Arabidopsis thaliana: one gene and its partner. The protein of the gene in region 2 interacts with the protein of the main gene of each other region in a pairwise test. Each region holds a gene or a part of one and is shown on either strand. Other genes may lie near its edges.

Region 1 (14,809 bases), on a different chromosome or scaffold from region 2:
AATACCTACTTGCATGGTTAAAATATCTACAAGACTACAACTCTCTCGCTTTTACTAAAGCGAAACAAAGTGGTAAGTGGTAACCATAATCGAACATGTAAGCCACTTCTAGTTGACTCCCAAATTGCATTGTCATAATTAATTAAGCACTAACTTAAACATATAAATAATCACCCTCATCAAATCATTTTCTACCACCATCCAAAACAAAATCTTTGGAGCCACTCCACGAAGAAAACAGATGGCGACCACAACATCAACCCAAGCCATAGTTTTCGCAATCGCCCTTTTCTTGGTCGCCATCCAAGCCGTTCATGCAGACTATTACCGGCACCGCCCACAGCGACCTATAACCCCGAGCCCTCCTCCCTACGTTGCAAAGCCCCAGCCGCTCCCAACTCCCAGCCCCAAACCTATCCTTTATCAGCCTCCTCCCACATACCAACCACCCACGGGCTCGTTCGAACAACAATTTCTTGATCCACATAATACTGTCCGAGGCGGTCTAGGTACTTTCATATATTAACTATAAATAGAATTAAGACCCGATGTGGTCATAGTTATAAGACTATGCATGACCATAAACAACATAAACGGTCACTTATGATATATCTTTGTAATTTTTGTTGTCATACTCATATGTAGTCCTATTCATAAGAAACTACAAGATAAAAACGATTAGGATATATATAGAATATTAACAAAAATATATCCGTATTTTGATGTTTTCTAGATACAAAGAAATTAAACCAGATATATTTTGTTTTGTTTGAGACCTTATATATTACATACATGTTCTAAGGAAATGGACTACACTAAAGAAACGAACAATTAAATAACATTTGTTAACATAATTGTGATATCAAATTAAATTATTAGTAATGTTGTATATTGATATGAAAATTTTCATTCCCAACAGGTTTGCCTCCACTGGTGTGGGACGTAAAGATCGCAAGCTATGCAACATGGTGGGCTAACCAGAGGAGATACGACTGCTCCTTAACCCACTCGACCGGCCCATACGGTGAGAACTTGTTCTGGGGAAGTGGCTCAGACTTTACATCGACTTTCGCAGTGGAGTCATGGACTGTGGAGGCTAAGTCCTACAACCACATGACCAACACGTGTGAAGGAGATGGTATGTGTGGTCACTACACTCAGATCGTGTGGCGTGAAACCAGGCGCCTAGGTTGCGCTAGAGTTGTCTGCGAGAACGGCGCAGGAGTTTTCATCACTTGCAACTACGACCCTCCGGGTAACTACGTTGGGGAGAAGCCTTACTAACTTTGTCTAACACGTTAGTTGTTTTAAATTAACGTTGGTGATTTCTTAATCTATGTTTTTATTCTTCTTGACTTTTGTTTCTTTTAAAACTTATCATCCTATGGATTTTAAGTTGATGGTGTTATGAACATTTTGTTGTTTCTACTTTTCATTTTGTGATGGTCATGTCCCCAAAATAAAATTTTAATCGGTATACAAAAGACCTTCCTTAGTTCCCTTAAATTTTATATAACTAAATACTACTTAGATATGAATATGCACAAACAATATAATTTTCCGTTTGTACTTGGCATTTCTTTACAAAAATCATATCATCTTTTTATATTTTATATATTCTTGTACACTGGGCATTCTTACGGATATATAAATAACCGTTGATGCAATTACAACCATCAATTAAAATAATCAAGATACATAATTAGTATCACAACCCCCACAAATAGATCTATTTTCTAGTAAAATACACAAATACACCCACCTAATCTCCTTTAAAAAGTCATCATAATTTCTAAAAAATTAGTAAGATGACTTTATTTTGGAGAATTTTTAATAGATAAATGATGATAAATTAATAGGGTTTCTGGCCGATGTAGTTACCGGGAGGATCATAGTTACAAGTCATGAAGATCCCACCATTGTCGCACACCACACGTGCACATCCGACCCTCCTAGTGCTCTTCCACACAATCTGTGTGTAATGACCACACATCTGACCAGCGTCGCACGTGTTGGAGCCGTAATGATAAAACCTCTTCTCGCTGGCCCATGCAACCACCGCGTCGGCCGGAGACCAGTTGGCGCCGTATCCCCAGTAGATGTTCTCGCCGAGATTAAACTCTCCGTTTGAGACAGAGTGTCTCAAAGCACAATCTCCCCTTCTTTGATTAGCCCACCCTTGGGCGTAGTTCTGGAGTCTGCGGTCCCATATCAAAGGAGGTTCGAATCTTGCGGCACGGACCAGGTTGTGTCGGAACAAGAACTGCAAGGAGTCGTGGTCACATCCCGGACACAAATTCTTACAGATTCGGAACACCTGACCGAGTGTTGCTGATTTGGTTATTAAAGAATTGGTTATTGATAAAGAAACGACGACATTAAGGGCACCTAAGAGTAATATTACTCGTAAATAGGATGAGCTCATCCTCTCTCTTTTCTGAGATTATATTGTTTTGTAGGTGCTAATGGATTCGGAGGTTCAAGTGTGTTATTTAAATATACAGAGAAAAAGAAGGAAACGATAAACTGTGTAATTGGAAATGTATGGATACAAATTTGAGGGGTTTTTTAGCGGCTCTGTCTAATTATGTAGCGGCTCTGGCAGATTGTAAATTTTAGAAAGAAAAAGAAAAGGAGATTGATGATAATTATGGATTGTATTATTTTATTGGAGAGATATGATATGATTGTGTTATGTGTTGTCCCGTGAAACCCTAATGTTGGACGTATTAGATAGGCGGATATTTGATAATGGTGGGTCGTCACGGAAAACGCCAATAAGTCAGCATGCTTGCCAACCCATATTGGCACTCACAACTCACAACATTATGGCCATCAATTTAATCCATGCAATGATATAAAATACTATGGAAGATAAATCAAATAGTTAGGGATGAAATTAAGAAAGAAGAAGGACGAAAAAAACGAATGAATTTAGCAATCGATTAAGCCAAATCGAAATTGGAAATCAAAAGAATGTGAAAGAGATTCTATTGGTACTTAATTAGTACTTACACGTTTTAATGTGAAAGAGATTTTTTTTTTTGTCATACATGTCACATGTGCAATATGAATAATCAAATGAGTAACTTGAAATAATTGATTTAAATGTGCTTTACTTTTAAGAAAGAAAAGAAAACAAATCCAGACATTTTAATGAAATAAATCTTTACATTTTATATTGAGATTAGATGTACTTGCAATGAAATAATTTTTATTTACTATTTATCCTATACTAATAGTAGTTGATAAATCTCTACATTTTAGTGTAGATTTTTGCAAGTCTTCCAAAATTAAAGTTTTTTTGTTTGTTAATAACAACACCATTAACCTCTTATAGTTTTTAATTTATTATCAATCCACTATTAATATTTTTTTTAAAAACTTATTTTGACCAAGTGTTTCTATGTTACCGCTACTGTTGCTTAGCGCCTCCGCAAAACCCGCAAATTGTAACACTTCTTCGCCGGAAAAGTTAAGCGACTTGTCATCATCAGTTTGCTAGTCAGGAAGATAACTTCCTTCTTATTGTGTTCCTTTTACTTCCACATGATCGCGTCCTTCTCCAGATTCCAAATCTCAATCCCCGATTTGATTCCGTCTTCACCGCGATTTCTTCCGCCTAGTCAAAACCAGTTCCGTTTCAGATTATACCTTCAATTTCCAGCTCAACCTAAGAATCTCTGTCAAATGGAGTGGATGAATCGTCTTGGAATCGGTTGCTTTGCGGCGAATCGAAGCAAAAGAGAGCTGACGACGGAGATCGACAACGGCGGAGAAGACTTTTTCGATGCGGATGTTATGGAGTCTGCGGAGAAGCCTGATCATTTGGTGGTCATGGTTAACGGAATCGTTGGCAGGTAGACTAAATCAAAGAGCTTCAATTAGAATTACAGATTACTATAGTTTGGGTTAAAGACTGTGCTAATTCTGTGTTGGATGATGATTTAGTGCGGCGGATTGGAAATATGCGGCGGAGCAGTTCGTGAAGAAGTTCCCGGATAAAGTACTAGTGCACCGTGCGTGTTTCTTGACCTATAGATATTGTGGTTTTGATTACTCTGTAATTTTATGATTTGTTTGATTTTGATGATGAAATTGGATGAAGCAGGTAGCGAGAGTAATAGTGCAACGTTGACATTTGATGGTGTTGATAAAATGGGTGAAAGGCTAGCTAATGAGGTAGTATTTGGATGCATTGTTGTTTCCTCTGTAACTTGCAACTTAAAATTTGATTTCTATGTTTGAAAATTTGTGAAGGTTTTGGGTGTTGTTAAGCATAGAAGTGGGCTGAAGAAGATATCTTTTGTGGCTCATTCATTAGGAGGTCTTGTTGCAAGATATGCCATAGGGAAGCTCTATGAACAGCCAGGGGAAGTCGACTCTCTGGACTCTCCTTCGAAGGAGAAGAGCGCAAGAGGAGGCGAAATTGCTGGGTTAGAACCTATGAACTTTATAACTTTCGCAACGCCTCATCTTGGTTCAAGAGGACATAGACAGGTGAATTGATGTTTTAGACTGCATGCCTAGGTCAAATGTTTATGTAAGGTTTGCATATATATATATAGATAATCTCTTTCTGTAATCTGTATGACATGCTTACTCTTGTCTTCATTCCCTCAGTTCCCGATTCTTTGTGGCCTTCCGTTTCTTGAAAGAACAGCATCCCAAACTGCACATTTGGCTGCTGGGAGGACCGGAAAGCATTTGTTTCTGGTGGACAACGATGATGGAAATGCTCCACTTCTTATCCGGATGGCTACAGATTCTGATGACTTGAAATTCATGTAAATGCTCTAGCTTCTGGGTGTTTTCATTGGTGACTTGCAGATTGATATGCTCATCATCTCTTCTTATGACCTCAACAGATCAGCTTTAAATGCTTTCAAGCGTCGTGTGGCATATGCAAACGTGAATTTTGATTGTATCCTTCCCTGAAAAAAACATGTTTTTAAAGAGACTGTCAATGGTTTTTGATTATTTCTATCATTTACAAGAGTTTGCCTTAACTAATGAGAAAGCTATGGTTGGATGGAGGACATCTTCAATTCGCCGTCCAAATGAACTCCCAAAGGTATGTCTTTACTTATTATATTTTGTGCACATCTTTAATGACGTTGTGGGATTTATCAATAACTATTATCCCTGCTCATCTTCCAGCCAAATCTTCTAGCAACGGATCCAAACTATCCACACATTGTATACGTAGAACGTGGAAATGTGGACAATGGTAGTTGCCAGTCAACTTCTACAGTAGTAACAGAGCAAGATACTGATCTTGAAGGTTTTGCTTTATTTCTCACTTGACTATTTGTTTTTCAAAATTTGCTAGAAAAAATGATATCTCTATCAGATTTATGGAATGTGGTAGATCCTTGCCTCGCTATCTATTACCCATTGGTCTTCTTTATAACAAGTAGAATCACTAACTTCGTCCTGTTATGGTTTTTGTGAAATGTAGAGGAAATGATACATGGACTCAGTCAACTATCTTGGGAAAGAGTAGATGTCAGCTTTCACAATAGCAAGCAACGATACGTCGCGCATAGTACCATCCAGGCAAGTTTAATGATAAGAACTCAAAACTCAAAAGCGATTTTGTTAAGAGCATTTGACATAATTTTCCCTGTAATGTGTAGGTGAAAACATATTGGTTACATTCTGATGGCAAAGATGTTGTCTTCCACATGATGGATCATTTCGGTCTCTAGCCCTAAACATTTTCAACCGCTGCAATTAGTCAGCACTGTAAGAAGGCGATAAGCATCACAAACTTCTTCTCTTTTTTGTTGGTTATTTATATCGTATTTAGTATGATGCTTGATGCGATACAAATCGTGGTAAAGTTCTTGGCACTTTTTCCTTGATGGTTATTTAAAATGTTTTATAGTTCTGTCGAACAATGAATCTGTACAGATCTACCCGTTCTTTGTAAAAAAAAAAGGTTCATACTTCTCTTGTCACTATCGATTCTATAAGTTTTTGTTTTGATCATAAGACTTGGCGCCAGTTGAATGTCGATTTTTCCACAATTATTGTTGGTTTTCCAGTTTTATTGGCATCATTTGCGAGCTCGTTTGTTTTGACACGTTCACATAATAAACATAGTAGGAATTGGACAAGAAAACGAAAGGACGTAAACACATGACACAACCAGTGACCAATTGCCCATACTAGAAAAACAATTATTCAGTTAGTTGCAGTAGTCTCCATCCATTATATGTGTCACTGTTCACATTGTACTGATCATCCAAAAGACGACAATTTATTGTCCAACGATAAACGATAATGCTTTCAATTTCAGTGAATGGTAAACAATGATAAATGGATATGCCTGGAAAAGAAAAAAAGAGAGAAATGTATAGTTGAGAGGCTATTTGTTCTTTGATAAAACTTGATGATATTTAGTAATATATCTAGAAATTTAGGAATAAAGGTACAAAGAGAATAATTCTCAACTTCGGTTCGCCACAACGAATTAGCTTAATATTCGGCATGCGTCATTGTTGGCACATCACTAGAAGTTTTCACAACACATCTCTTTCCCTCTTTCGTAAGCATCATGTCTGTACATCTCTCACTGGGAAAACATTTTTGTCTCTCTATACACGAAAACTGAATTAAGGACGCACGATTTTAGTTGTATCTTTTATTTATTTTGTCTGTCAAGCTTCAGTTCTATCTTTAATCGCTAGTCCAAAACAATCATCTATTCAAACTCTTAAAATTTACATGTACCGGATATTCCTTCATGAACCATAAACGGGAAAAATTTGAAGAAAACTGAGACAACCAAAAAAAAACTAAAACCATACGAAATAAATAAAACTCTAATTTATATCCCATCAGCTCACGTAAGGTTGGCGTAATTATGAACCGACACAAAAAGACCGGACGGATCGATTCCGGAGTACTCCGTAACGAATGCTCTGTTTTCAAAATATGAGGGAGGGCTCACCGTAACCTCCGGTGCTCTGCTATACCACCTGATCACTACCCTCTTCTTCCTTCTTCTTCGTTATGATCGCCGCAAGTACAGCTTTGCTCAGACCGAGTCGCTGGCGTAGCCAAGTAAGTAGGTCTGACATCACCGGCCATTATGACGAGAAACTTCTCCGGCATTTCTGTGTGCTTAGTTTTGTTGGTGTCATTGTCGGGTTTGGCATCATCTCCGGCCTCAAGATCTCTCTCAGCGGAGCCGGAGAGTCTCCAGTAGGAACATGCGAGGATGAGAAGAGCGACGCAGATGAGAGCCAACATGGCGGCCAAACCACCGAAGAGATAAGGAACCGGAGAGTGCCAAGGCGAGTGAGGCACCACCATGGAGGAGCTCGCGTTTATGCTGTCTTGGTAATTATATTGTCGTCCTTCCATTGTCTGCATGTGTGTTTTACTGTTTGGGAAGAGTGAATGAAATGAAAGTTTTCTTTGTTAAAAAAGTAATTAATTTATTGGTGGGAGATGAGATTGTGTTGTGAGAGGCGTTTTATAGAGGAACGTATGGGATGGATTGTTTCTTAATGCAATGGATTTGTGTATGGTTCAGTTTTCAGTATTTTTTTGGAATGTATGAAAAAAGTCAGTATTCATTATTTGTACTTTGTAGAGTGAGTATTAACGAAATTATTTTTTAGGGAATCATCTTCCATAATGGAGTAAACAATTGATTGGTTTTTGATATAGAGATGTAGTTTTTTTTTGCATTTATACTTACATGAATAATTTTTTAATCAACCTCAAAAATGATATTAGTTTAACGTGGTGGCTCAATGAAGACATTTGTAAAATCATGTATATTTCCTTCTTTTGGATGTTAATTTGAACTTGTATTAAGTTGGTTTTCTTATTTTTTTCATAATTGTTTTGTTTAATATATCCGTCTTTAGTACTTTAATAAAGTTTAAATTTTTATTGGTGGCTTTTAATTAATAGTATCTTTTAAATGCAATAATGGATAGAGGTTAATTAAAGTTAAGAATTATTTAATAATCTTGTTACGGCAATTTGCACATTAACCTAACTGTTGAACTAACTAACCTCTTTGTTTTGGCTAATCAGTTTTTATTACTTTGCTTAATTAGGTTAAACTCAAGATTTAATATCATTTAGGAGTTTCAACTCAAAACTATTTTCAATGCCATTTATACACTATATATGGAGTTCTTAACAATATGTATAAAACTGTAAGAACTATATACAGTAAAGGGTATTTAAAAAACTTCTGGTTAGATAAAGTAATAGAGCGAGTAGTGCAATTGGAGGGGTAGGTTCTCAGCGTCAGCTTCCACCATGACTAAAGGAAAAACGGATATTCCATTAGTTTCCAATCACTTTCACTTACGTTCTCCATTTCCACATTCTTCCTCTTCCATTTTCTTTAATTTCTTCATTCGTACTTTAAGATCATTGTTTAATGTGTCCACTAGTATTACAGTAAGCAATAATATATCATTACGTCAACTAAAAGGAATTTCTAAGGCAGAACCTTTTTTAAAGCATCCAAACCCCCAAACAATGTTATGTGCGGTTAATATGCCAACACAATCACTAGTCGCTTACATTAATCTTTGGAGATAAGTTTTACTTTTAAATCCCCTCACTGTGTATATATTAGTTTTAAATTATTATGTGTGTGGGCTGTATAATTTATTCCCTGATCCGACTTAAATTCCGGATTTGATTTGTGTTTGTGCATGAATCATAGGGAATCATATTCTCGTTAAATAGGCACGTTACATGTGAAGATAATGTATAAAATAAATACATATACCTAGGAACCCATTATTTAGTTTCTCGAACAAACAGATTAAGTACGATAATTAAATATTGGAGTTCTATTCTTCTTCCTTTCCGGTAATTATTCTGCCAGACCAATTAGAATCGGTATGTTGATTGTTGAAAAGATTGATTGATGGGTGCTTCATTTTGTGCTTGGTTAACAATCAGAATACTTGCCCTCTTTACTTTTATTTCTTTTGAAATTTCCTAAGAAATCGTTTTCGGTGTTGAAAGAATTAACAAAGGTTCCAAATATCTCAACTTCTCAAGTCAGAGATTAGCTTTCATGTAGTTTTTCAAATTGTGTTTATTTCTTCATCTAATTACTTTTAAAGGTGGCTCGTTCAGTTTTTTTCAGAACTTATCTCCGTACATTCTAAAACTCATTTTTAGTTATCAAGATATTTTTCTTTCTCTTTAGATACGGATTAGTGAACTTGAGATAGGTATATCTAATTTAAATAGACAGCTTTATAGAGCTATGATGACACTTTTAAAAACTGATAGATATGCAACAAATATCATTATTGCATGCCTCACAGTTCACACATGTTATTTGAAGTTTGAACATTAAGTCATAAACAACAGTTTAATTACAATAAAATAATCAACATTTGCTAGCAAGAAAAAGAGAAGATATGGTAATAAAAATAAGGTTTATTGAAAGAAAAGATGAGAAAAGGAGATGAAAGTACAATAATTGTATATATCGTCAACCATGGCGACATGATCATATACATACATGTTTAAAATAATTTTGGAAAGTGTAAAAGCAAGTGTCTAAGGAAGTGTTATGCACTAATAGAAGTATAGGACGGTATCTAGTGAGAAGAAACAAAGAGTAAAGATACAAAAAAAACAGAGTGATTAACATTTCCTACATATATTCTATAGTTTTTTTTTTGGAATATGTTGTAACAGTTATGACATGATTCATGTGGAAGCTGCTACAAAAAAGTGGAGGAACGAGAGGGAATAGTAATAAAGCAGAAAGGGGTGTTTCTTTGAGAGAGTACATTTGTGAACGAGGACCAGCCTTTGTGGGACCTAAGAGTGGAGGGTGGTTCAGCTTTTAGCCGAGACGTCCTCATCGCCCAGCACCCTGGTCTGGTCCATCCTCCTCCACTGTCGCCTGTCGGCCTTCATTACTCTTTAACTTACCCACACACATTCTTTTCACTTTTCAGTTTTGGGTCTGTTCTTGCAGTTATGATATATACGGCATGGTATATTTATCTTGTGACATTGCAAGTTGCTTTTCACACATTTTTTTCAATATTGATCCACATTCAAATGGGCTTATTTCTGATTTCCTAATGTCAATTTTCTTCTGTTTAGCCCTGCACTCTGTTCTTGTTTTTGTACCCGTTAAGGGGCTTTGAAACAACATGCTACTTTTTATTATGTGTAGAAATTTAGGAAAAACACAACATGAGATACGGATATATTGATGGCCAAAGAAAGTGAAGAGAATGCTTTATTAGTATAACAAACTATATAAACATATCACATATGTGATATGTATAACAAGTTACTATAATATGATTCAAATTCTGTTTAGAATATTTTCTTTCATAGATAAAGAAATTGTACCATTTACAATTATTTCACCTATTAACTCCTAAAGTTTATTCATTTGCATGTACGGTGATATACCTAAAGTAAAAGCAACCACAAGTAACTATAACTAACTAACGTTTAAGCCAGATTGTTTTTATAGAAACTCCTTCAAATCCAGGACTGGTCACGTCATTAATATGTAATTGTAAAAATGGTTTGGCAAATTGTGTGCCAAACAAACAAAGGAAGATGCAGAGATTGGGAAATAGACTTGTACGTGATTTGCAATTTTCTGTGTAATAATTGTCAGCAGGCCCGTGACCTTTATCTGCATTCCCCTTTGGCTTTCTTCTTCTCAGTTTCTCAACAATATATATTCACTATGACACACATGCATATTCATTTGATCCATCTTTACATGTTTTCAATAAATGTGTGTATACGTAACTGTTAGCAAGCTTTCTTTATGAGAATATATCTAAGAATTTTCGTTTCTTCTGGATCCACCTTCTCACTAATAACTCCATCTTAATTTGGACTTGAATCTCTAATGATCTCTTCAATATCTGACTCTCTCTTGTCTTACTGTCGCATCCTGGTTACATCACCGTTTGACCACAATTATATTCGATGAGTTCTATGTAACGCAAAATTCAAAATGACAGAAAAGACAAAATAATTAACCAAAAGGTCAAAAAACAAATAAGAAAGAAAAAAAGACTGAAAAATTGTCAATTTCATTGGAAAATACAAAACATTCCAAACTCAAGCATCAATAAATTCTCTTTACAACACTCACTTCCCTTCTCCAACCTTTAAACATTTCTCTCAAAATGGAGTCGTACACTTTATCCACCTCTTCCATCTCCTACGCCAAACCTCTTTCACCGCTCCTCCTCACGGCGGAGCAACCTTCCTTCATCCTCCGCAACATCACTCTCACCTCTCATCCTTCCCAAATCCTCGCCATTATTGGCCCTAGCGGCGCCGGAAAATCAACTCTCCTTGATATCCTTGCCGCAAGAACCTCCCCGACCTCAGGCTCAATACTTCTAAACTCCGTCCTTATTAACCCTTCTTCTTACCGTAAAATCTCCTCCTACGTTCCTCAACACGACACCTTCTTCCCTCTCCTCACCGTCTCCGAGACCTTCACTTTCTCCGCCTCTCTCTTGCTCCCAAAAAACCTATCAAAAGTCTCCAGTGTCGTTGCTTCTCTCCTCAAAGAACTAAACCTAACACATCTTGCACATACAAGACTAGGTCAAGGCTTGTCCGGTGGTGAACGCAGGAGGGTTTCAATTGGTCTAAGTCTTCTTCATGATCCGGAAGTACTACTCCTCGACGAACCCACCTCGGGTTTAGACAGTAAATCCGCTTTCGATGTCGTTCAAATTCTCAAATCTATTGCGACGTCCAGAGAAAGGATCGTGATCTTGTCCATACACCAACCTAGCTTCAAGATCCTGTCTCTCATCGATCGCGTGTTACTCCTTTCTAAAGGAACCATTGTATATCATGGAAGGCTTGACTTACTTGAAGCATTCTTGCTCTCCAAGGGATTCACGGTTCCTTCTCAGCTGAATTCTCTTGAGTACGCTATGGAGATACTTCAGAACATCCGTGATCCCTACGAAAACGCCAACATTGCTCTTCCAGACCACTGCCCTGAAAGTAAAAAACAGAACCAAAAACAGAGCATTGTTCGATATAAAAGCTCGAGAATCACCGAAATAAGCCTTCTCTCTAGCAGGTTTTGGAAGATCATATACCGTACAAGGCAGTTGCTTCTAACAAACATCTTAGAATCTCTTGTAGTCGGTCTTGTCTTAGGCACTATCTACCTTAATATCGGAACTGGCAAAGAAGGAATCAGGAAACGATTTGGCCTTTTCGCATTCACCCTCACATTCCTCCTCTCCTCCACTACCCAAACCCTTCCAATATTCATTGATGAACGACCTATTCTTCTCCGAGAAACCTCAAGCGGACTCTACAGACTCTCCTCTCACATTCTTGCAAACACTTTGGTTTTCTTGCCATACTTGCTACTCATCGCAATCATCTACTCTGTCTCACTCTATTTCCTTGTAGGACTCTGCTTTTCATGGCAAGCTCTCGCCTACTTTGTGCTCGTAATCTGGATCATTGTCCTAATGGCTAACTCTTTTGTACTTTTCTTGAGCTCTCTCGCACCTAACTACATTGCTGGAACATCTTCAGTGACCATTCTTCTTGCGGCTTTCTTCTTGTTCTCTGGTTACTTCATCTCTAAAGAGAGTCTTCCCAAGTACTGGCTCTTCATGTACTTCTTCTCAATGTACAAGTATGCGTTGGACGCACTTCTGATAAATGAGTACTCGTGTCTGCACAACAAGTGCCTGGTCTGGTTTGAGGAAGCTTCTGTGAATAGCTGCTTAGTTACTGGAGGTGACGTGTTAGACAAGAATGGGCTTCATGAGAGACAGAGGTGGTTTAATGTTTATATGTTGTTAGGGTTCTTCGTACTATATCGTGTTTTGTGTTTTCTTGTTTTGCTTAAAAGGGTTTCGGGTTCCAAAAGATAAATGCTTTTCAATTTCTTAAGCTTAATTTTATATATAAGGGATTTTCTTGTTTCTGTAGACTTCGTGGTATATACACAAAGAAGCAAATTAATTGATGGATGAACACAAAGAAGCAATTTATTGATGGATGAGTTAATGAAAGTATAAATTCCTTTATTTTTTTCGTTTTATACATTGTTCTATCATGTATTTAGTGTGTATATCCATGAGCTTCACATACATTCATAATGTCACTAGAAAACCAAGAGAACTATTTGATGTACTATCTAGCCTTCTATGATTGGGTTACGTGTGCAGGGAATATAGAGAATCTACTGGATTAAGAGATATTTGAGCCATGTTCGTGTATCTTCTAACTTGGCCAAAAAAAAGAGATCGTCACGGGTCTACATGGTCTTCACCTCCTCTGGAAAACCATATCAGTTTATACATTATTGTTCTAAATGTATGTACAAATATAAAATTAAAGGTTTATTTAAAAGTTCAGTTGTGATTTGGATTCATGATCTTGATTGTTTTATCATTTATGTTAGTGGCCGTGTCTTAAAGCGATGTTAATATTCATGATTTCATCTATTATTGTTGCAGATCCTAGACTTTACTTTGGGTACATCAATTTATACGTCTGCTTATCCAAAAACAAACAGCGAGCTACTTTTTTTTTTTGGTCAATAACAATGTAAAAAAAAATTGTTTTGGTTAAGAAGTAGGCATTCACGATGTTGACAAACAATAAAGTAGAAATCAATAAATAGTTGTGCTCAAGTTGACATACAAAATGCCACATCTCTTTTGTATTCATGGGTTCACGGACATGCAACTTCATTGGTCGCCCGTGAACATTTTTGTTTAGCAAGTAATTTTTGTCTCGACCAAGCTGGCTTCCTGACTCAGTTATAATCCAAATTCATTTTTTATTACTAACTTCAAAGGTTTACTCAAAAATTTAAAATTCATATGTATATCACGTTTTAATCTTGGAGTTTGGGAACTTGAATAGGATATATGTGTTGGGACGTCCGTCATTGGTATCCGGTTTCAAACTTGAGAAACAAGGAATACGTTTCTTGAGAAGCAAGGTTTACATTACCACCTAATCTACTTAACATACTCCATCAGCATGTCTTTAAGATTGTGTTCCTCAGCTTGAGTCACTGAATCAATATGCAAGCAGCTTTGTTCGCCCACTACAAAATTGGTTCTGACCGTGATGTACGGCTGGAGAAAGCAACATGAGTTGTTGGGACCAAATACTTGTGTCTCCAAAAAACATTGACGTCTACATTATTTTATGACAAACTTGTCCGTTGACTTCACTAGGTGGCGAGTGAAGGAGTAAGATTGGATTGAGTAAAAATTTAAGCCTAGCATGAAATCTAGCGCCGAAACCTTAATGAGTGAAGATCATATAGATACACAAATCCTAGAATGTGACTGTAATTGAATGATTCACTTACCAAACTACAAGATTTTAAATAAAATCTCAATTCTCAAATTCATAATTTCCAACTATGGTGTTTTAGTGGTTGCAAATTAATCTGTTAGTCCAAGAACAAGAATTTGAATCATCCTACTATGATTTAATTCATTGTTGGTCATTATTATGTGAATTTTTTTTCTAGGTCAGCCTATGATTCTCCCGTTAACAGAAGAAAATTCACTATGGGACTCCGAAATCTAATATGGAACCGGTTAACCATCTAACCGGACCATGTAAAGGCCAGCTTTGTAGCAAATAATTATTAGATTATCAGCCCAATAAAAGCCCAAATCCGTAATATATAATCTAATCGTCTTTTATCCGCAGAAAACCCTATTGCTCCCCTTTGCTCAAGCTCAGTGCCTCTTTGCAGCGAAAGCTCAACCAACAAGACGATGGTATACACATACTCTGCTTCTACTCT
Region 2 (16,675 bases):
GCTTTGAATTTAAAGTCAAAATTTTTGTATTTTACCTTCAATTTTCTGCAAGATTTTCTTCACTTTCTGCTTACAACCATCACAATGAATATTCACTTTGAGAACACAAGTCTACACAACAACAACAAAAGAAACAGAGTAAATAAAAACAGAGCAAATTTTTCATGTTATGTAAGAAATATAAAAAAGTGATGAACAAACCTGGATCTTCATAAACTCTTCTTTACTCATCTTTTCTTGAATTGGTGACGAAATTCAAATCTATCTCACTTTTATCACTAGATCTGAGACAACTCCGCTGGTTCTTGAAAGATTAATCTGCAACATCAAACCCAAAAACTATTATTAAAGAAATAGATTTAGAAGTCAGAAGCAAACATAACTGTGAACACAGACATATCATACATTATCTGAGAAAACAGAAGAAAGAAGTCTCTTTAGTTATTGGGTATTTGCCATGGAAGACAAATATGCAAAAGAGAAACAGAGAATGCAAATCAGAGACTTACTTGAATGAAGCAAAGAAGAAGAAGGAAGAAAGTTTCAGGCTTTACAGTAAGTTTGGTGAACATTAACTTCTCTACTTCATCTATTTCAGAATGAGAGGGAGAGAGAGAGAGAGAGATGACGATGATGATGCAAAGTTGCTACTTCGTTATCTTTTTTAAGATGGGCTTTAATTTATTAGGAGAAATGAAGTGAGTGCAGTGTACTCTTATTTTGGGTTTTTATATTTTAATATTAATTTTAATCTTTTTTTGGTTATAATTTAATGGTTAGATGTGAAATGTAAATTGTCAAACTAGATTAGGAGTATGATGTGTCATTAAAGATAGGAGTACTAATGGTATTACCGTTTTTAATGTTCTAAAATCTATAAATTTGAATATAGAGAGGATTATATCTTCTTTTTAACATACAAAAATAATTTAATTTTCGAATATAGTATAGAGTCAAAATTCTTATAATATGGTTTATGATTTTAATTTGTGCATTGTTGAGATTTAAATACTTTCCCTTTTAAAGAAAAATAGTAAGTGGATATAAAATATAATAATACATTTTAAGTGTGAAAATAATCTATTAGTACAACAAAGTAAACGTTGGAAATGGGGACTATGAATATTCATAACATCCCCTATCTAAGAATGTGCTATTTATTGTTATATATAAAAAAGAATGTGCTAACTATTTTAATTTGCACTTTTAGTACTAATTATTAGCTCGGCTTATTGTGGCTCGGCTTGGCATCAACTAAACAAACAATTGTTTAATGGGAATTCATTAAAGTATTTAGATTAATTTTGTTTCTTAATTACGACAAATGAGCTGGTTAATTTGACGTTACTATGTGATGAAAAACGTGAAGCTGTTCTCTCTTTATTCCTTCCGTATAAACCGGTCCTAGGAATTTTGCTACATTAAATTTTGGAATGATCTTTCATTCTTTCTTACCCCAATAAATTAATTTCGAAATTCTAGTAAATCCAAATCAATCTTAACGGTCTAACTAATTATCTAATTATCTTAAAGAGTTTTAGTTTGATCTGATTACTGATCATTTAGAAGCAAGGCAAAAAAAAATTATGAACAAACAACAAAAAAATTGGATGACATATGCATGGAGTCGCATAAATGATAAATTTACTTGTAACTTTTAAATTATAAGAAAAATATCAGTAAATCACAACACCAACATTCATCGATATTAAATATACATTAATACCTACAACAATATTATAAGAAAAGTATATGTATTTTTTTTTTTGTTCTTTCATATGGTAACTCTATATAGGCTTGGAATAATCAAACAGAACATTTCAATTATCCATTTAAAATAAATATATTTGTGGTTTTGGAATGTACACCTAAAATGTAGGGGATGAAACAATTTTGTAACAATGTTTTTTAAAAACAGAGTGGGTGTTGAATTGGATCACGCACGGTCCACAATCTGGTCTGGCCGGTTTACAGATGTATTATTTATTTATAAATAGAAAATGTATTGATGTATAATAAAAATATAGTATGATTTATACAAATAATAATTAATTGGGCTGCAAGTAGTTCATTTTCCTCTAAAAAAAATACTAACCTTTATTGTGTAAGAATCATGAAGGACTTTGACATTTTTGTAATTTTATTTGGTTTCGATCCGATATAGATTTTAGAGTTTGGTTGGTATCTTAATTAATAGCATTTGATTTATTATGGTCAAGAAATTCAAAACAGTAAATTACTATATCTAGGATAAAATTAAATATCGCATGGACTTTTCAGACCGGCTCAAAACATGGAGTGTTAAATAAATTATAGCAGAGAAAGTAAAATGAATAAAGCAAATAAACACAAACCTAAGAGTTTTTATGATTGTAATACCCAATCATGATTGATTTAATTTTACGATTCAAAGAACTATTGACCATATCGATTCACATACACGTAATAATTTGTCCCAATTATATCATATCACGCATGGCTCGTTTTTTCCATCATTAACGACTATACTCGATATATGTATTTATTTCGTTTCATATAAAAATCACCACGGATCAGGTTTGGTAATAACAACTAAACAATGCATTTATTCTATCTAAACCACACCCATAATTGGAGGGGCACTCTAATGCTTATCCAGTTTTGTTTTCCTTTTTGTATAGTTGTATAAAATTTTTTTACTTAAAACACAAAAAAATGTAATTCTATATAGTCAAAATTAATTCAACCAAGAAAAAAATACTGCAAAACTTGAATGGCCGTAAAATATTAAACAAATATAAAATAATATGAAGCAGACACAAGCTTCTTATAAAACTTACAAAATTATACAGAAAGAATGTTTTAAAACGATTCGCAAACAAATAATTTATAGTGGATTAATAACCTAACCATTCTTACATGGAAACTATGCTTTTTTCGCTACAAATTGAATCATGGTGTGGAAACTTTAATTTTTTGGTCTTTAACTAGACCGATAATGTTTTTACATTAAGCATATTAAACAATTTATTTTTAAGAGAAACAAGTTTTGAAGGAATATTGAAAAGAAATTGTAAACCAGAAATTTAATAAATGGTTTATCTAGTATCTACTACACACTACCGCAGGATTCTGATAGTATCTATCAACCTAAGATTTTGAAAGCTTAAAATTTAGTTAATGTTTTTTAAAGCTTAAATTTTTTATTGCGTTACTAAAAAAAAACAGATTTTTAGAGTTCACAAGTTATATCCAACTATCTTTTCTTTTTATTTTTGACTTTTTGTCCAAATTACTTCAATAATTGAATGATATGTATATAGTAAAAGTTAAAACTGAAACAGTGGGACCAACTAGATGAAAAAATGACAAAATTGGTTAAAGAAAGAGACGCCTTATGTGAAAATATGGCATACGAATATGAGTTTGAAATTATTATTATTTTGTCTTAATGGGAAAAAGAGATTTAACCTTACATAAGAAATACTACTACAAGAATGTTAAACAACTAATTGTAACTTTAAAAGATTAGTTTAAAAGAGAAAACAAAAAAAAAATGAAGGGAAAAAAAGGGTGGGGTTGGGTAAATGATGAAAGCCTCACTCTTACGAGTGAACATAATCACGTTTTCGGCCGCATCAGTTTCTCTTAATTTTCTTATAAGTAATATTTTAGAACATTTCCATCGATAGTTTCTCATCCAGAAACTGTTCAATATGAAAATAAAATATAATCAAAAAGTATGAGAGAGAGTAGAACTCTGAGAAACCCATAAAAACACTTGTATATCATCTATTGATTAAATATTATTTTATTATTAAAATTTAATTATATAACTAATATTTATTAAAATACTAATATCTTTTTTTTTTAGAAACTAAGAAGGTATTTCACTGATGAAGATGCTCTTAGCTGGTAAGCATTTTTTTCTCTCTAAATTTAGACACTTTTTTTCTACGCATTTATCATTATTGTTTTTTTTTTCAAAAGCCTAAATAATGTAAACATGGCATGAGACATTCTTCCCTTATTTTAGTTTTCCTTTTTGCTTTAAATTTAAATAATACTATAATTAAACTCTTTTTTAAAGATATAACTGTTTAATGAAAAAAGGAAATTTCACTGATGTAATTGTCGATTAGTAAAGCGAATAAAACCAAAAAAAGAAGTTATGAACACACATGCATAGAAAAATATATAAATCTTGATTTCATTCTAACTTTGCCGAAGCACCAAGTAATTAATATCAAATGTGAGCATGTTCCTTGGTCAAAAAAAATTCGTAAGTCCACCACGAATTTATTGTCTAGACCAAATCCTAAACAACCAATTAAGTGGTTCATGCACAACGGATTTGTTCGTAGTACCATAATCGTCACTGAACATGTGTGATGTATGAACTTGACCGTATATCCTAACTCAACTCTAACTAACCACTAAGCTACTAATGCATGGAATCTGAGCACTTACTTAATTAAAGTCGAAAATTATAAGAATCATAAGATTATAATTACGCCTGCGAAATTATATGGAAAAAGAGAACAAAATGTAAGATGTTAATTAATTAGTACTACTTGTTAGCATGTAGTTAATATGATCGTACCATTAGCTGAAATTAAATGCATTGTACATGATGAGATCGATCATAATAAACCCTAATATTGTTTGGTGGCTCACGCTTTTTAGTTATATCCGACGATTTTTATACACGTAAACTATCGTTTTTATGGAATATATATATATACCATAAATGTTTATATATGGAGAAGTTTAGAAATGAAGAAAAAAAAAGCAACGAACGAGATACAAGCATGTTACATCCTAGTAATATTAGGGGGTGTTAATTAAGTGAACAACAAAAAGTGTTACTCGTAAAAAAATCTAGCTAGTAGATATTTCATCGCCATATATCAGTAGTTTGTAGTTTTTTGTACCATATAATTGGATAGGACAAAAAGTAACGTTAACTCGTATACTATAGGCCAAGTCTTTTAGAACGAAAGGACATGGTACAATTTTGACATTTATGATAAAGTTTTACGATGGCTGGGGAATTATTTGTCGAAAACTTGCTGCATTATTGGATTATTTGAAGTTATATTGGGTATATGCTAGCAAATTTGTGTTGAATGATCAAAACGATTTTATCTTGCCAGTCAAAAGTTATAAATCGATTATGCACGATGATCCCTAAAATTTTCATGATGTTCTAAATTAATTTAAAAAGTTTGATACAAGGACTCAATATATATTTATATATGCTGTATATGTCTTAAGGGAAAACAATTCAGTGTTTTTTTGTATAAATGCTGAATTTTTGATTTGTACATTTTTTTCTTAGTGAAAACAAAAAGACTTTGATCTATAGAAAGTCACAAGACTTGAATTCGACAACATAAAAACAACTTACTTATCAGCTAACTACCAACATTTGAATAATTTTGGGTTTATTGCGATAAAATTTGTAGCTGAATATTTGCCTAAAATGATAGAATTGAGTCACATGAGTCTCCAATGTTCACATGGGGTCATCTTCTTCTTATTGACAAAATGACATTAATTGGGGGTTTTGTCTCTATTCTCTCCTTTTGTTACCATCTTTTCCTTATAGATTCGTTTTTTTTTTTTTTTTTTTCTTATACGAATCTTATCATAATACGTCTCGGACTTGAATTGCTATATTTTAGCTTGGAAAATGTTAAACTTATTGGCTATTAGTCCGTATTTAGTTAAATCTTGATAGTGTGAATGATACAAGAGGTTTATATTTATTTGGTAAGTATATATATGGCTGAGAATCTGACAGAATAATAGAGGTTTCTATTATTTTTTTGGTAAATTATATATGGTTGAGAATTGACAGTATATATGAACTATGAACTGACGGAAATAATGACATTATATTTGCCGGTGGTACTAGATTCGTATTAGTTTTAACATACTGTAAATTTTAAAAATCCATGTAGCATATCTGTATACACCACACACACAAGGAAGCCATCATGACTAGTTATTTGCAATCCTAAACTTGCAAGTGAAGAAATTTGGAGCTAGGTTACATACTTACATTACGAGAAAATAAATAGTACTCGAGTGTGCAAATAATAAGATACAAAATTATCAACGAAATATATTCTTTTCAACCTACATCTTCAAGATAACATCCAAAACGCATAAATCAAGTTCAGAGCTAAGCTAGCCATGAACTGAACTTTACCAAATATTATAGACTTCAATATTGCAACACCTATTATATCAGTAACTGCGGCGCACCACCATCTTACAACGACGCTTCCCATCTCCACTAAACACCACAAATAGATCGTTTACTAAGCCATGTGACGAGGCCATATACACCTATGTGACTCTCATATTGAATCCCTAACACGTACATGAAAAGTTGTGAGCCTTGACCTTTATATAAGTATATAACCAATAACATAACTCCCTAAAGATCTAGATGTCTACAAAAACTCCATAAGTATTTCTGCAAAAATAGGTACTTCCTTTTTTTCCCCTTCAAGTCACATTATGTTGTGCGTTGAGCTGTGTCAATTCAATTCCAATAATCTTTTAGTCTTTCAATCGTCATTATCTTCATTTTGAGTTTAAACCTCAGCCACAATTACCCTATGAAAAGTAATCTTGCTTTTAATTGCTAAATATTCCATTGAGCAACATCAATCATTTTTCCTAGTGGCTAATTGAATGCAATTGTGGAGTTAGTTAAAACTTAAAACTTCTTTCTGAACCATATATATCCACTGTAATGTCAAATCTAAGAAAAGAAGGTTGGTCTAAAATAGAATATAGGAAATTGAAAAATATATTGATACAGTGACACATACATAGAAATAGGTGATCAATGCCGAGATTCGGTAAGGAATTTTGATTAAACATCATGGTATGACTAGTAAACATTGTCATAGGCAGAAAGGGAAAAGTATCACTTCAAATTCATTATATAGTCCAAAACAAGACAAAGACAATCACACATAGACCCTAGGGGTTTCATAGTTCATAGATATGATACCACATGGAATCATAATGTGTATGGAGAAATAATATTGCTTGTAAAGAGAGTCACTTCACTACTATCAAACAAAGACTTTTTTTTATTCCTCATTTCAAAAGTTTGAGCATTCTGTCAAAAAGAATGAACTCAAGCTTCACTTTTTTTTTAAAACTTTTTTCTTTCTCAGGCTTAACTTCAATAGGAAACATTCTCCATCTCCTACCAGCTTTTCCTTTTATTTGAGCCTTTTTTACAGACAAAAAGCAAAAAGGAGAGAAGAAAAAAAGATTACTTCTTTGAATGTTCTCATCAACTTCAGTTCCCATCTCTCTTTATTTTCTTTTGAATCTTTGTAATTATCAAGGTCCCCATTTTCTCATCTACACAAACTTTTACTTTCTCAAAAAGAAAGAGTTAAAAGAAAGCCAAATTAGGGACACATAGAGCTATCCAAGACTCTTGCAGATTTTTCCTGTCTATTTTTGATATAGAATTGTGGTTACTAGGAGGTTCGGTTTCTAGATTATAAACCCGAAACGTTACGATAAACAACATATGATTGCAAGTTATATTTGAGCAATGCCCAAACCAAAAAGTATTCAGTTACAGAATGAGTGTTTCAAGTAGAAAGATACAAAGAGAAAGTTTCTCAAGAACCATTGGAGCTATATATACATTACTGACTTTTTTTTCTTTGAGTTTCCCAAAACTAAGACCAACAAATATGTGCAAGAGTATGACATGAGAAAACACATTTGTATAAGAAAAAAGGGCAAAAGAATTCGATTTGACGGTTTTCAAAAAGAAGAAGAAGAAAGAATCAAACATGGTGTTTAAGTGAAGGGAAGAAACCTCTTTTTCAGTGTTGTTCATCACTACTTTCCACTTTAATCTTTACAAGCTCATGGATAGGTTGTCTACAAATGGGACATTTGTTTGTCTGAAACCTCAGTTCTTCTGCGCAATCACTGCACAAACACTGCAACAGACAACACAACATGATTTAGTCTTGATGACAATTCAACCAAAAAGTTATGGTCTTGTGAAAGACTTGATGTAGATTTGCTTTAGAGACAATCAACAGCAATATGAAGCAAGTCTAAAATGACAGAATTTGCTTGTTCCATAACTGAAACGCTACCAACGATTTATAGGTTTACCGAGTAAATGAAAAAAATTGCGTTTAGAAGAATTGAAGAAAGCAAAGAGAATTGCTAGAAGTTTGTACCAAATGTCTACAAGGCATGACGGCTGTGTCCTTAGGTTCAGTCAAGCAAATGACACATTCTTTGCCACCAGTATCCTCTAACCCCGATGCAGCAGTACCTTGTGTGATTGAATTATCGATTCCATACAACTCTTGTAGTTCATATCGTTCTCCTTCAATCCATAGAATCTGTTTCATGACTTTCACTTTGAAAGATCCATCATTAGTCTTCTCCAAAACCGCTTGAGTGATCTGCTTATGAACTAATGGTTCCTCTGAAACCGAGCTTGGTGATATTACTGTCTCGGCTGATATTACAAGTGGGTACACCTCTTCTGGTGATGGTTTCGATAGATCATCCAGTGAAAAGAAGCCTAGGTCGATTCCTGTCCCTGGAGCTTGTAGAAACTTCTGCCCGGCACCTTTTTGGAAAGGGACTTTGATTGGTGGGAAAGCTTCTGGTAAATGAGGGACGATTGTGCACTTTGATTCCTCTTCTCCAAAAAATATGATAGTGAAACTGAAAATGAGACAAGTAACATAATGAGACTCCTCGTCAGATAATCTTAATACCTAAACTTGGTATGCAACACAGGAGAGTAATAAGGTTGATTCAGTTGCTAACTAGCTTAGTAGTTCCGAACCATTAAATGAACTACAATAACTCCTAAAATCAATCAGTTATGTAACTGAAGCCTGTATTGTTTGGTTTCTGAACCAATCACATATTCATCACCTAGATCATGTCAAATTTTAACCTTTTTCATCCCAAATTGTGGCAACACATAATTCAGAACTGAAACATGAGTAAAGATGTTTCCTTTTAATCAATCTCGTCCCAGCAAAAACCCTAACTTTCACTGAATAAATGAGTCATATCATGTAAAGTTTGAACCTTTACGATCCAAATTTGAGATTCAGTATAATCTACAAGACCCCTCTACGCTAATTAGCCAATCTCATTCAAATTCTGGTTCTAAAGTCGGAAACTTGACTCAAATTTTGGAGTGAAGAAGTTATACCTGCCATCGAATAAGGCATCGAAGACGAAGGAAACAAGATAATGACCAGGGTTAAGATCGTCAGCTACGAGCCTCACCGTAGCTTTATTCACATTGACATCGTTCTTAACCTTCTTAGCGGTCTGATGCTCCACATAAGGTGCAGGCGGTTCCATAACCGCAACCGGAGTCGGACCGAAATAAACCGGCCTCATCATCGGATTAAACCCATTGTGATGATAACCGGTGAAATACGGAGGAGCTTGTTGCGGGTAGTATTGGTTTTGATGGTAGTTTTGACCGTACGGTCGGTAACTAATCTGCGACGGAGGAGGCTGAGAAGAAGACGGTGGCTGAGCCGGTGGTGGAGGAAGAGAGAGCTGTGGAGTTGAAACGGGGTAATTGTGAGAGTAGCTATACCCGTTTTGAGGCGGCGGTTGTTGTGGTGGAGGATCGGAGTAATAGTACGGCGGATTGTGGTGGGGATGGTGGTGGTTGTTGTTGTTGTCTCGTCGACGCTTGCTTAAGGAGATCCCCATAGCCTCTGAAGAAACGAGACAAGAGAGACAGAGAGACGAAAGTCAGATCAAAAGATTTGTCTTCCGGTGAAGATTATTATTTACATTATTTTTACTTTACGCAGTTACTGCCAGATTTACTGCAATTTTTGTAATAAAAGTCAACGCGTGTAACTTTTTTTTTAATCGGATGTTCCCGAAGACATGACCGTCTAACGAAAGAGACAAGACCGTTTCTTCTTGTTCAAATCTAGAAAACACACATACATGACGTTTTTCGAATAGCATTATTGATAGAGAAAAACTATGAAAAATCAACTAATACCTTATGAATTTCAAACGTGGTGTTTTATAGTTGACCACATATATCAACAAGTTCTTAACTTTGAATATTATGTTAGTAAATTATATTCAGATCATTTATAAAAGTTTACAAGTTTTCATCTTAATTTTGGTTTTCTTCCAATTATGTTATTAAGATGAGATTTTAAATAGTCCAAAATAGTTGAGCCAATATCATAAAAGCTAATTTTGGTTATGAATATACCCATATATTCAATTGATGGGTTCAATTTATGCATAACAGATTCTGTGTATAATAAATATACCTTTAGTCGTATTCAACAATCTTCATTGAATATTGGTTTAGGAGATTTTTAAGATACCTGTAACATTTTTAGGTCATAGATATGTTTAGAATGCTTGTGAATGTCAACAAAATATCTGATTAGCTGGAGCAATTAGAAACTCAAACCAAAATCCATTTAGTTTCTTTTTATTCATCCAATATTTTAAATCTCTGTGAACTAATAATTACATCTCAAAGTTACTAAGAAAAATAACTTTTTAAAAATAATTTTTAATCTATGTTATTATTATACAAACCAAGAAAACTAAGCTTTGTATGTTAAAATAAAGATTATACAAAGTAAGTATTCATCATCTTAATTTTAATGACTATGGTTTACTTGGTCTTGAGGTTGTTGTGCATCTATCTTTATCAAGAGAGGCTCATTTAAATCCGTCGAAGCATCATCAGTAACGGTCAGCTCCGGCAAGGCTGCAACCGCTTCGTTCATGTCTCCTCCGTGCTCTGCTAAAGCTTTTCTTAGAGCGTCCTTCGCCACCTTTGTAACACACACCATTAATATCACTGCAAAGAAACAGATAGAAGAAGGAACTTGTAACATTAGTGATTCTGCCGCAATCGAAGGAACTAGTAACATTAGTTATGCCGAACTAACCGGATATTACAAGGCTCGAAATCAAGAACGCCTGCAGATTGCGGAAAACAGGTCAGAATAGAGATTGAAACAAGAAGCTGAGAATGTAATTAAAATTTGTGTAGATCTTACCCAGCGACCTGGCGAGAACTCGCTCCACTTGTGAGTTACATCAGAAAGGTCTTTTAGAGTTGTTCCAACATACACTAACGCAAGTGTTATTGGCTGCAAATTAACAATGTATCAAGCTGTATTATTTCCATCTTACAATTTAAACATTTTGCAGTCGTTATGAAGTGGTGGATTAGAATAGATTACCATCATCCCTAACCACGAAGAAAGCAAGTATGGACCTAGCCGAATTGGCGTGACAGATAAGAGGTAGTTCAACATGCTGAACGGAAGAAGAGGAGCAAGCCGGAGCAACAAGCATATCTATATTCAGTTTTGCATATTCATAAGTTTCAAAAGAAGAGTGTCAGCACAAAACTTGTAATGGGTTCTCAGTGCAAACCTTGAAGCCGGATTTCTCTATCGCGAGTGCCACTGATTGAAACTGAGGATAATCCTTTAATTTTGCAACTACAAAAGGTTTTCCAATCTGCATAAGAGCATTTTCATGTAAGTACCAAAATATCAAAAAAGGATAGCGTCAGTGGTTTATGCATGTCACTTCATTAATCTAATGGTTGTGTCTGCAAATCAATAAGAATTTGAGTGGCTTACCGTACGGCCTAGTAGAAATGCAGCTCCTGAGCCAAGTGTAGCACCGACTGAGTCCGCCACAAAACCAATTGGCAGCCCAAAAAGGTAGCCACCACCGAGCTGAATATATCACAGCTTCAACCAAATAAGATTTCTCAATTTTATAGATAAACCAGTCACTCTAACAAAGAAAGTTGAGAGTGGATGATAGCGGTAAATATATCACACACAAAAGAAATATGTATATATACCGTGAGAACCGAGGCAGGAACAGCCAAAACTGTTAGAGGAATGTACGCAACAGCTCTGCAGACATCGCAAAAAAAAAAGAGAAGTTCAGTACCAAGGTAATCTCATGTTCCTATATCTATGGATTAACATTAGCAATGAAACAGTGATTCAGCTACCACCGTTAGTGTAGCTCATTGCTATATTACTCACGCAAGAATCTAACTAGCTCCATAGCTCAAGAAACAAGAAGAAAAGAGACTTACAGGGCAAAAGGTCCCCAAGGCCCTAGATCTTGTTCAACCCATAACAAAAAATCCTTCAATAGCTGAAAAATAATACAAAGGAAATTAGTAAGTTTCAGATCATAAACTAGCTAATACTACAAATCACAACATCAAATGAAACGAATTCAAAAAGGGCATTTGCTTTCTGACAATTAGTTAATCAATGATAGTAAAGATCAATCCTTTTTCATTGCTAACACAAAAGAGCGACATTTACGAGAAATTCAAAGAAAAGCATGTCAATTTCCAGAGATCATCAAAAACCCATGTCAGAATAACCACATTGAGAACCCTAATTAGGCCAATTACGAACCTTCTCAACAGGGAGAAAATAACAAGCTAAGACAATTGCAGCTACAAGGATAAGGAGAACAGAAATCCGGAGAGCAGATCCCCACGTGAACGCCATAAAAGGCGAACTCTACGATGCAAAATGGTCTCCGGTGACTATTTCAACGGCGTTGCCGGTGTTTCTCTGACAAGCGAGAGCTTATTGAGAACCACAACAAATCGAAACAATTCCGACAAAAACCGCAACGAGATCTTTAAGGATGCAGAAAATCTGATGCTGGTGCTTGTCTTGGAGATGATGTAATCCGAAACCGAAAAAGACAAAAACTTTGGGGGGTTTCGTGAAGGTGTGGATTCAATTGTCGTTGATTTGGTTTGGAGACTCCATGTTTAGCGTAAGCATTAGAACTGTGACTGGTTTCATTAAACCGCGTGGCGCGTACCGACTTCCTTGCCGTCCTTAATCGATTTCAATATTATCTAATTCCTTTTGTTTTAAATTAAATTGGATGAGATTTTATTATTTAGAACCATACATAATTTTTTATTCGATTTACTAAAAATAAGAAGAGAATGAACAATTAATAATCACATTTGTATCCGCCTTGTATGAATTAACTATGTTTTTTATATTTGGATATGTATAAAATAATGACATTATAAAAAGAACAAAATAAGTTTGACCAAAAAAATAATAATAAAAAACAATGACATAAGTATATGACATGAATATTTCATGATCCAAATATTTAATTACTCAAAGTACTGATTCTTCATTATATACAAATGGAATTATAATTTTTTTTATTTGAATGACCAAGTTTTGAAAAGAGAAAACAATGCGTAATCGGATGATTTGTCAATGAAAGAAAGATGACGATTTATTTGTCTTCAGCTTGTGACTAAATACCGAATTTTAAGGCTAACATAATCAAGAAAAGTCTACACGAGACAAATAAAAGAATCTTCCTAAGTCCTAAACCAAACTTAAATTTAAAGCAGCTCTCTCTAGCCTCTACTCTAACGTAGACAAACTGCATTTAACAAGACATGAACAAGCATGAGATCAACAAAGTACTGATGCCCAATCTCGCCGTCTATCCACCGCACTTTCGCCGGAGGTCTTCCATAGTGAACGCCATCGTTACACCGGTTATCAAAATGCCACGGATACGTCATGTCAAAGTTATCAATCACACTTGAGACCAATCCTAACCCCTTCATTTTCTCTAAAAACACCCCATTGTACACTTCCATCTTGCTCGGGTTAAACGCAAGCTTCCTCGCGTAACCGCCCGTCGCTATCGTGTTCCTGAAAATCACTTTCGGAGGTCGCAATCCCCGGGCTTTCACCGAGTCGAAAACGTTCCTCCAGAACGCAGCCGCGGTTTCTGCTCCTTTCGTAAATGCTCTAAGGTTAGACCAGTGAATACCGTCGTGTAGACCCGAGTTAACGATCATCACGTCCGGTACACCGGTCTCTTCGACGAAATAGCTTTTAAGCAATTCTCTAAAGCTATCATCTTCAAGTGAATCAAGACCTAGATAGTTTTGAGTCTCGTTCCAATGTCCATTGAAGATACTCGTGATCCTAACTGTTTCCGATGAGTTCTTCGGATTCGAGAACTTCAAATCAAACCTCCTAGGAACAGCACCAATCTCCGGATGACCCAAGACAAAGTTCAACAAGTTTCTGATCGAATCAACATGATTAGAGTCACCCCAGAAGAAAATCCATTTGTTCTTCAAACAATCCCAAGCTGATTCACTAGAGAATAGCTTAAACGAGCAATGACTCGAGTAAACCCAACCATTGCTTTCTAACGCCGATAAAGCTCCGTCGCACCATGGTTCCCGGCAACGGTAACCATCTGGTAAGCAACGGTAACGTCCATCATTGCTGATTTCACACTCGTCGTTCTTACCAAGCCTAATCCACCGGCCAGACCAAACATCTCTGTCGAAATCGGACAATTCACATCTCCGGAGCTCCGGTAAAACAACGTGAGGTTTCTTGATAAACCGTAGTTTGAAATTTCGTAGCGTTCTGTTGAATGCGAAGCGTGCAGGGCTAAGTTTAAGACCTTGGAAGCGACGGAAGAGTAAAACAACGGTGAGATCATAATCTCCGGCGAAATCAGGATGAATCTGAAGAGATAAAGAGTAAGTTCCGTTTCCTAAATCTTTCACCGGTGGTCTTGATTTCCAGTTTTCACCGGAAAGATCAGTCTCGAAGTAATCTCCACCGATACAAACTCGTTCCCCAGAATCATCTAGAGAATGAAATCTGAATTCGTGAATCTCACCAGCCGTTAACTCTACTAAACCCTTCCCTTCGATTCCCGGAACAGAAATCTCAACGGTGTTTGCTTCTCTGCACTTCTCTCCACCCGGAGCTAACCAGTTTTTGAGTACATTCGCTGTGAAGTTCTGCTCTTGCTCGACGGAGATCCAGGCAAGCTTTACTCGGGTCGGATCCAGATCCAGAGAAGGAGGAGAAGTGAGTCGTATAGAGTAAGAGTTGAATCTCCATGATTTGATGAAGCTTCTGATTGAACAACTGTCAATGCTCCAGACAACAACTATGAGGAAGAAGACGAGAGATGTTAGCGCACTTAATCTCCATTGATGTAGAGGACTCATCGCCAGAGACGGAATCACTACTTTCTTCGGCATTTGAAGAAATCTGAAGAAGATGATGACAAATCGGCAAGAAATCAAATTTGTGACAAGGCGATTTCTAAAGGTGCGATTTTTATTTTGTAGTTTTGGTAAGTAACAGGTCCGATTTTTATTAGTTTCCTAGTTTCGAATCTCGAGCAGAACATTAGTCTCCAAAAGTACTAATTAGGTAAGAATTTAGAGATTGTCGGAAGGAAAATTGCTTCAAATTCAATGTGATTTGCCAAAAGGCCGAAGAGTATAGAAATGACAATTTAATGATGTACAGACGATTATACCCTTGTGAATCAGCAGATATTAGCATTGGCTCGAACCGGTGATCGCGCCAACTAATGAGCACTGACATGTGTTGTTGCGAAGGAAGCGTGTTCAGGAGTCGCGTCGGCGTGACGTTTCAGTGTACGGTGGGATTTTAGGACAATGTTCGCGGTCACGTGTCTTGTTTGTTTGGTCATTGTCGCACCCCCGCTTACATATTCTTTGCCGGGATAAAAATTTTAAACTGGTGTAAAAAAACAGATATTGAGATTTAGTAGCTACCCAACTAATTATTTAAAGATTAGGTTTGAGACTGGAACTTCATAATTTAGAAAGAAAAATTGTTAGGCTGCCACCAATTGAAATCCTTTTATAACTGAAAACCTTTTTGCTTACAATGATCCTTCAAATAATTCTTCTTTCCTTATCTTCTTTTATTGCAAGAACTAAATACTTACATAATTTATTCTAAATTTGAATATACTGGTATAAATTTTGAACAGAAGAGAAAAGAAGATATAGATTAGTATGATGTTGTTTGGCAAAAAAAAAAAAAAAAAAAGATTAGTATGATGTTGAATTGTTGATTGTTTTAGGAGGAAACAGTTATGTATACACTAATGGAAATTTCTGTTATTTACCTAACCTTTGGACAACTCAATGCCTATTTATTGGTGTCAGTGTTTGGTATTTGGTACTATCATCTTACCAAACACTCTGTTATATCATCTTTACCGTTTACCTTTGATTGCTTACTGATTTAGTTTTTTCATAGTTTCCCAAAGCATCTCTGTTCAAGCTTAACTTATGGACTCAGCAAGACAAAACCAAGCAACAAAAGAAGGATATAATAAGGAAGACACTTTTCTTAATGATCCAAGTATATATCAGAACAAAAGGACAACAATTTACTTTTTTACTTTTTAAGGATAAATGGTTACGAATCAGCCAAGAAGTGAATTAATTCATGAGATTCAGATTTGGATAAGTTTTTCATCCACATAAATGGAAAAAGCAGATTTAGCTCCAAGGATCATCCCAACCACTGGGTCCTTCTCTTTTGACAAAACCAATGATGGCTTGAACAGCTTCATGAACTCTATTGGAGAGAGAATGATTCCCATGCTCTATCTCCACTTTCTCTGCTCCTCCCATTGCTTTACTTAATCTGTAATCACAAAGATCAAATCAATCCTTTTGATCTGATTGTTCATGTCCAATCATTTCGATATCATTTTGATCCAAAGTTTGCATCTATAGTTCTTCATATATACCAATTTT

Evidence for each region.
Region 1: the proteins of LUL3 (region 2) and GDU2 interact in a two-hybrid assay, tested with the Arabidopsis thaliana proteins (one study listed by BioGRID).

Annotation. Positions count from the first base shown.
Region 1 is NC_003075.7:13,108,723-13,123,531, reverse strand, and holds GDU2 (glutamine dumper 2), read right to left. Parts: upstream 7,505-14,809; 5' UTR 7,384-7,504; coding exon 6,994-7,383; 3' UTR 6,577-6,993; downstream 1-6,576. Other genes in the region: AT4G25790 (CAP (Cysteine-rich secretory proteins, Antigen 5, and Pathogenesis-related 1 protein) superfamily protein), read left to right, coding at 242-509, 920-1,284; AT4G25780 (CAP (Cysteine-rich secretory proteins, Antigen 5, and Pathogenesis-related 1 protein) superfamily protein), read right to left, coding at 1,853-2,425; AT4G25770 (alpha/beta-Hydrolases superfamily protein), read left to right, coding at 3,550-3,860, 3,952-4,019, 4,112-4,182, 4,261-4,500, 4,624-4,787, 4,869-4,924, 5,022-5,074, 5,161-5,284 and 1 more; ABCG4 (ABC-2 type transporter family protein), read left to right, coding at 11,172-12,905; AT4G25740 (RNA binding Plectin/S10 domain-containing protein), read left to right, coding at 14,781-14,783. UniProt on the Arabidopsis thaliana protein: Probable subunit of an amino acid transporter involved in the regulation of the amino acid metabolism. Stimulates amino acid export by activating nonselective amino acid facilitators.
Region 2 is NC_003076.8:6,371,466-6,388,140, reverse strand, and holds LUL3 (RING/U-box superfamily protein), read right to left. Parts: upstream 9,993-16,675; 5' UTR 9,742-9,992; coding exon 9,224-9,741; intron 8,722-9,223; coding exon 8,223-8,721; intron 7,974-8,222; coding exon 7,854-7,973; 3' UTR 7,536-7,853; downstream 1-7,535. Other genes in the region: AT5G19090 (Heavy metal transport/detoxification superfamily protein), read right to left, coding at 36-111, 202-231; AT5G19070 (SNARE associated Golgi protein family), read right to left, coding at 10,671-10,873, 10,965-10,995, 11,076-11,168, 11,262-11,378, 11,458-11,544, 11,670-11,768, 11,900-11,954, 12,143-12,204 and 1 more; AT5G19060 (cytochrome P450 family protein), read right to left, coding at 13,475-15,130; AT5G19050 (alpha/beta-Hydrolases superfamily protein), read right to left, coding at 16,415-16,562. UniProt on the Arabidopsis thaliana protein: Acts as an E3 ubiquitin-protein ligase, or as part of E3 complex, which accepts ubiquitin from specific E2 ubiquitin-conjugating enzymes and then transfers it to substrates (in vitro).